Linked DNA regions of Caenorhabditis elegans. The protein of the gene in region 1 interacts with the protein of each later gene in a pairwise test. Each region holds a gene or a part of one and is shown in the gene's direction. Other genes may lie near its edges. The genes, in order: brc-2 and D1007.8.

Region 1 (3,928 bases):
GAAGAAAAAGGTGGGTGAGGAAGGAAGAATTGGAAACAAAAAAACTAAATTTAAAGTCGATTTGCAGACATTTTTTGCTCGACTGGTTGGCTTGATGATACACTTGAGAGCTTGGAAATCATGATATTATCATCAAAAATATCATTGATTTTATCAACTTTTATAGTGTCTCCTTCATCAGTTAACAAGATTAATCCGGGTGCTTCAGTAAGCTGAAAAAGGAAATTCTTGATTTTATTTCTAGAAAATTAAAATTTACTTTGAAATCCACGGCTTCTTTGCAATTTTTGTGTAGTATCGATCGATTTTCTGGAGATGAGAGACGAGCCACAATGTCTTCTGCGATTTTGAATGAGATTCCAAGTTCACGGCATACTGTAGACATGTGACACCCGTAGTGAACTGGAAGTCGCTGCTCCCAGAGCCGTTTTCCCAAGTGATGAATTGCTTTTTCATAGAGGTCTGGGTATTGTTCACGGATTGAAGTGAGGAACAGCTGAGGGATGACCGATCCACGTGCTACCGCTGTTTTGTAGGTCTAAAAATATTTGTTTGAGAATAAATATTCGAAATCAATCTAACGTTTTTCCAATCTACAGGTGGCACGACACGCTCACAACCAATAAGTTTCTTGCCACGCTCGTCGATTTTTTGTAGAATTCCCATTTCTGAGAGTGTTTCTTCGCTTTCTGCTTGCTCTGGAACTTCTGAAATAACTTTCCCGCGATTATTTGGATTTCTATATATTTTCAAACTACTTACCTATTTTCGTTTTCCAAAGTCTCGAATTGTGTACTTGTCGACGTTGGTTCCAGATTTGAGCATTATGAAGAATTCCAATTTTAAAATCACAAACTGGCTCAAAATCTATACGCTCGAATAGAGAATTGTGTGATGTAAGAGCCTGAAAATTATATTTGATTTTCTTTCCATCTTTTTTTATTTTCGGGAATAATAAAACATTCAAAAAGGGCTGAGATCTATCTATTTTTCACATGCGACCCATTTCTATTTCACGTGAAGCACATGATTCTGAAGGGCAATGGAAATGAAAACCCGGAAAAACAAAATCTTTCAGTTTAAATTGTATCAAAACAAGTTTTTCTAGATTACAAATGTACCTGAATAGTGATCCATGAATTGGGACAGACCACATCGAAATAACATTTCACACGTGGCAATGGAGCCATTTTGAAGTTTGGCTGAAATTAAATTTATGTCGAGAAATTAAAAAAAATCAGAGCGTCATCATGAGAAAATAGGAAAGGTTTAGACTGTAAAATCAGGTTTTCATGGCGGGAATGACATTAAAATGGTGATAAGGTGATTATTTTATCAAAAGAATTTTTTGAATGATTGCACCTAAAATCGAGTGCTTTTTCTTTAATTTGATTATCAAAAGAAAATACCCAAGAAATGGAAAATGAAAATTTAAGAGATGAAAGGAAAAAGCGACCCGGAAAAACATCAAGCTGGGAAGAAATCTCAACTAGTTAGACCAAAGCTTCGAACTCTGCGAGCATGTATTTTTTTTCCTCACTTTCTCCTTTTCTTCTCTATTTCTCTAGATCTTTATTACTGCGGGGGCAAAAAGAGTAAGAGATAGAAAAGAATGACGCAAAAAATACACGGATTTAATATTTGCTTTGCTTTTTTATTCAGAGAGGAAAGGTCAATTGGGGGTTTCCCCTCGTTTTATGAATGAAAACCGCACATAAATATAATTATTTCCACAGTTTTAAACGGCAGAAACGGTTCGTGTTATAATTTGTGAGATAATTGATTTTGCATTACGAAATTAGAAGAAAAGGCGGAAATAAATAAATTAGTGTCGCAATTTTTTTCTCAAAAAGGAAATAATGCAATTACGCTCCACCGGACAGTAAAATTCTCAGTTTATTTGAAAAACAAAAATTTAATTTTTTCCCTTTTTTTCAATTGAAATCTCAAATTTCTGAACTCAAAATGAAATTTTCAGACTTTACCAGAATATTGTGACATCGACCGATGGGTGACTCATCTAAAAAAGTGTTAGTCAAGATTTATTTTATTGTTATAGCAAGAAAATTGAGAAACATACATGAATTGCAATTCTTTGTTTTCAGAAAAGACAGTTTCGACACAATATCTGAACCAGACAGCTTTGATGAGCCGAAAGGCGTACCGATATCAATGGAACCGGTTTTTTCAACAGCGGCTGGTATCCGAATTGATGTGAAGCAGGAATCGATTGATAAATCAAAGAAGATGTTGAATGTAAGCTTTGGAATTAAAAGGAAATAATGGAACATATTCTGAAATTAACTTCGACAACACATTTATTCTTCTAATATAAAAAATTTCAAATTCAGAGTGATCTCAAGAGCAAATCCTCGTCTAAAGGCGGATTTTCTTCCCCTCTCGTGCGCAAAAACAATGGGTCGAGCGCTTTCGTTTCACCGTTTCGAAGAGAAGGGTAAGTTTCAAAGGTGCTATCTAGCTCGAAGTTTTTCTTTTCAGAACGAGCTCAACAACTACAAAACGGCCGGCTAGCGGCGGTTTCGAAGATTTCGAAGCTCCACCAGCAAAAAAATCAACCAGCAGTTCTTCTAAAAAAAGTAAAAAACATTCGAAAAAAGAAAAGAAGAAGGAGTTTAAAGGTTAGTTAAGCTCTAGAATTGGCTCTCCTTTTTGAAAACTGTTCTTTATTCCGTAATTCTCGTAATCCGGAGTCTTTTTTCAGAAATCCACGCCGATGTTTTGCGTGTTTCTCGAATCTACGAAAAGGATAAATTCCGAATTATTCTTCAAGAATCCAGCTCAACTCCTCTAATCCTGGCCACTTGTAGCTACAATCGTGGCTCTGATATTAAATTTGGCGACAGAATTCATGTCGACGCGGAAGTCTGTAAAAAATGTAATGCTCAATCGATTGTAGCTATTGATTTAATTTTTCGTAAACTTTCAGCAAGCTCAGGCGATGTTACAGAAATCTATATTGATAGAGTTCTGAAAAATAAGGAAAATGGTGCGAAATCCGGTATCCGACGCCATTCAATTGCCAAGAAGCCGTTTTGCATCAAACCCAGATGTGAGCCATTTCGAGTTTTCACCTAAAAAAATTATTATTTCAGTTATCCACGAATTGTCAGACACGAAAATCAAAAAAACAGTTGTCCAAGTTAACTTACTCGATTTAAATTTGGATTTTTATGCAGGGTACATACTGATTCCTTGATAATTAATATAATAATATTGGTTTCAGATGTTCGAAATGCAAACACTCTCTCCCAGAAGCAGCGAATCAATGCGAGTTTTGTAAGGATTCCCAAGGAAAATCTGAATTGTCGATGTATTCTAGAGTATGTTCTTTATATTTATATTGCCTATTTCCTAATATAGAACATTTTTAATGTTTTGGATAAATAGCCTATTTTCAGCTAAAATCTCAAATTTTTCCGACTTGTCAGTGGTGCGGCGGTCGGAACTCACTTCTGCGAGTTGTGACATTGTCAAGTTGACAAAGTTTGAGATTTTAGCTGAATTTAGATAATTTTTTGAATTTTAGTTTTTGGGAAGTATCGTTACAAAAAAACTTCAGGTGCGAGTTATGGACTTCTCCGGTCAAATGTTTATCAATGTGACTACAAAAAATATGAAGAAATTACTCGATTTGTTAGGATATGAAGGATTTGACAATTGGTTCCGATTCAAAGACCCCCAGGAACGGTGAGATTTTTGCGGCGTTTTAACTTTCAATTTATAATTTTTTAAATTCCGTTGCATTTTTTCAGACAAAACTATGTGTTCCGCCCTGTTATGGTTGAAATCGAAAAATCGAATGATGAATGGGAATGCACTGACGTGGCAGAAGTCGACTGGAAAGATTTTGGCTCTTACTTGAAACATAAAGTATAATTTATTGATACCGAAAAATTACAGAGAACAT
Region 2 (3,403 bases), on another chromosome or scaffold:
ATATTCCAAACGCTTATTTTTGAAAAATCGATAAATGCGATATGTCGACGGTTTAAAATCCAATGTAAACTATTTTCCCACTAAGTTTTTTCATGATTTTGATACTTTTTCAGTAGTTGAATATAATTTAATAATTTATGTACAAATTCATCTAATTATAGCGTTTTGAATGAAAATAGGAAAGAAAGCCGGCATAAAAATGGTAAAGCGCCGAGGTCAACACTGTGCCGCACACTTGCAAAACGGCGTGCCAGGCTTGCCAACCGAAGACTCCGCCCACAGCTAATGGTACTCTCGCGCACACAATTGGCACTATTCTGAAGAATTTCATTGTAATATATAATAAAATTATCGATTTTTTTTTCAAATTAAAAAATTCAAAATATTCACATATGATTTAATAATAATCATTTTTTCAGTTTCACATGGCAGAGTCAAGTGATATTCCGAATGGTACTTACACCTTGACCCTCGGGAAGTCATTTGAAGTAAAAGGACGGAAAAGTGACCCTAAGGCAGAGCAATTTCACACGCTAAGATGTAGGTTAACTGCACAATTTTAAGATTAAATATATCAGAAATTTAAAAATATAAAATCGAAATAGCTAAAATTTACAGACGATTTCAAGCCAAGCTCTGTATCAAACAATGCCGACACCTTCATAGCGTTTGGGAACAGCGGTGATGTACATGTCTCTGTACCAAGCGAAGGAGACAATATGACTGTATATAAAGGATCGAAAAAAGAAGCAAAACCGAAAGAATGTCTTCTGTTCTTCGACAAAAAGACCAACACAGTTCGCTTGGAGAAAATTACGAGCAATATTAATGTAAAAAAGACGAGAGATCTAGATCAAGGAACAGAACTCGCATTGAAACGTGGAATCGAAAGATTGAGAACTTCTTCTAATAATCAGCGATCTGGACCATCTTCACCGGAGGAGAAAGCGAAAATTCAGAAACAAATGCAGAGAGATACATCAGATTCGAGTAGTGATTCTGATGGATCATCTGATTCCGACAAATCGAATGGCGATTCCAGTGATGATGAAGATGAGAGCGAGAAGATATTATTGGAAGAAATGAAAAAGCCCAAACCATATACAGAAAGAGAACCCGCACCGCCTTCGTCTTCAAATACCTACAATCACAAAGAAAGCCACGTGGCTCCCTATATATCAAGTAGTGGAAATAAAAACAAAGATTCTGAGGAGAAGTATGGATTGGCACTTAGCGAAAGCTCCGACGAAGATGACTAATTTTAAAACATAATATTATTCAGTGTATTCAACCGTCTTTCTTGTGTACTTGTACTAGTGGTGGCAGTTATTTGCTTCTGTGATTTTTTATTTATTTCAAAACCGGGCTATCTATCGCAATCATAAATTTTTTCATTCAGGCTATTCAACAGTTTTATTTTTTCAGGTTTTCTGTTTAATCCGTGCACTATTTTAAAGTCGAACTAAAGTTTCTCTGAAATTTTTAAAATTCGCTGAAACCATTTTATCAATAGAGCATGCTTCTTGCGCTAAACAGTGTCGTTTGTAGACGTCGATTTTATCTTCAAATTTCTGTGTTTTTCTCACATATTGTTCATGATTTCAGATGGAAACTCACCGGTATATTCCAGAACATGCCGTCCCAATGCCGATTTCAGCGCTATTCAATTCAACAAAAGAACGAATCGAGTACGGAACGGCAGACGTTGTTCGCGTTCAAGTGATGGGTGTAATCGAATCTGTGAAGTTCGGAGATTCTGATGTAGAATACATGATTACTGATAAAGATAATCATAATATTTTGGTTCAAAAAATCCTCACCGTTAGTCTGAATATATCGTGTAACATTGGAAAAAAGTATTAATTTCAGGCTTCTTTCACCGAAGAATCTGCCAAGAAGTTCAACGTCGGGGACCGTGTTGAAGTATTCGGAAAAGTTCGAATTTTGGAGAATGGAAAGAAGTTTTTGAACGCATTTTCGATGCACAAAGCTTCAGATGAACAATTCGCCGCTTTTCAAATAATCTGCCGTTTTTCAGAGAAGTTCTATAAAAAGGCAAGTTTCAGTGAATTTTTAAAAGCCAATAATTGCCCATTTTCCAGCACACACCTATCTTGCCAGCAGGCGCCAGCACCAATGTTCCTACTCGTTTCGGTTTGAAGAACAAAGTGGGAAGTTTGAATCGGTTCCCAATGGGAATGCTGGAACAATCATCTTCTTGCGAAAATAATATGGGAGTGTGGCCAACGGAAATTGAACAATTGGCAGCAGGAATATCGACAAGTGGACTTGTTAAAGAAGAATCAGATGTATCTGAGGATAGCAGTGATGATTCGGATGAAGAGGATGAGGAGGAAGAAGAAGAAGATGATGAGGAAGATTCATTTGATAAAGGACCAGTGAGCCTTGTGCCAATGGCTCGAAAGGAGAAGCCAAAAGAGGAGCCGGAACCAGAATATGATTCCTTCGAAAACGCCTGAATTTATAATATTCAGCTTAATTTTATTTTATCGTGTTCAATTTTCACTTATAGACATCTTGCCTTGTCTTTCATTCCACAATCTGTTTTATAAACTTTTATTTCTTTTTTTTTAAATAATTTCAATTTCTAATATGTTCCCTTAAAGGTTTTAAACCTTTTTTCATATCTTCAGTCGGCGGCACACGGTAATTGCCATTTTCCCAATATTCTTTCTAATGAAATTTCAGTATTCTACAACTAAATTTTAATGAAAGAAATTGGTAGAACATTTTATAATAAAAAACGCTTGAAATAAGCAAAATGAAACTAAGAAACTTCTATTTTTCACCAAAAAATTGATTTTTTAGTAATTCATCGAAAAAAAAATGGTTTCAGGCCTGGTCAATCCCCTATACCAATTAAATCTAAAATGCAATCAATCAATCTTCCTGTGGATCATTCCAAGATTGATGCTAACTTTGAAGGATACAAAGTTTCCATGAATAATGTGCACTTTTCGAGCAAAAGCCTGGATCAAAATTGTAATAAAAATCATTTAAATTTTCCATTTTTCGCAAAAAATAATTTTCAGTATGTCTTCGTGCTCCATCCAATGAAATGATTACTCTGCAACATATGAAAGTGTTCTCAAATGATAATCAGCTGTTTTGTGATTATTCGAAATGCACGGATTCCCAACAATTTTTGTATCGTATTTTAGACACCGGGCATATTCAGGCAATGGTTTATGAGAAAAAGGTACATAATTTTACTGTGAATGAGGGTTTCGCTTCAAAAATACTTAACGAATAAACTTAATTGTTTCTTTTCAAAAAATTAAATAAATAATTTCAGACCCAAATATGGAATACCTCGATCGTTGGCTCCATTGATGTTGGGACAAATGCCTCTTCCGCTTTTCCTACTAATCTCTTGTTCACT

The links.
Region 2: the proteins of brc-2 (region 1) and D1007.8 interact in a two-hybrid assay, tested with the Caenorhabditis elegans proteins (one large-scale study listed by BioGRID).

What each region holds. Positions count from the first base shown.
Region 1 is NC_003281.10:6,901,157-6,905,084, reverse strand, and holds the start of brc-2 (DNA repair protein brc-2), read left to right. Parts: upstream 1-1,978; 5' UTR 1,979-2,007; coding exon 2,008-2,030; intron 2,031-2,105; coding exon 2,106-2,256; intron 2,257-2,351; coding exon 2,352-2,455; intron 2,456-2,499; coding exon 2,500-2,639; intron 2,640-2,722; coding exon 2,723-2,896; intron 2,897-2,947; coding exon 2,948-3,070; intron 3,071-3,113; coding exon 3,114-3,198; intron 3,199-3,244; coding exon 3,245-3,341; intron 3,342-3,580; coding exon 3,581-3,708; intron 3,709-3,773; coding exon 3,774-3,891; intron 3,892-3,928. Other genes in the region: T07E3.3 (DSBA-like thioredoxin domain-containing protein), read right to left, coding at 51-212, 260-538, 583-707, 763-904, 1,122-1,190. UniProt on the Caenorhabditis elegans protein: Required for the homologous recombination repair of DNA double strand breaks, thereby playing a role in chromosome integrity. Acts by targeting rad-51 to sites of DNA damage and stabilizing rad-51-DNA filaments by blocking ATP hydrolysis catalyzed by rad-51.
Region 2 is NC_003279.8:4,602,798-4,606,200, forward strand, and holds D1007.8 (Nucleic acid-binding, OB-fold protein), read left to right. Parts: upstream 1-1,605; coding exon 1,606-1,821; intron 1,822-1,869; coding exon 1,870-2,055; intron 2,056-2,102; coding exon 2,103-2,480; 3' UTR 2,481-2,588; downstream 2,589-3,403. Other genes in the region: eaf-1 (Ell-associated factor Eaf), read left to right, coding at 426-540, 619-1,259; C44E4.5 (NudC domain-containing protein 1), read left to right, coding at 2,892-3,003, 3,054-3,220, 3,317-3,403.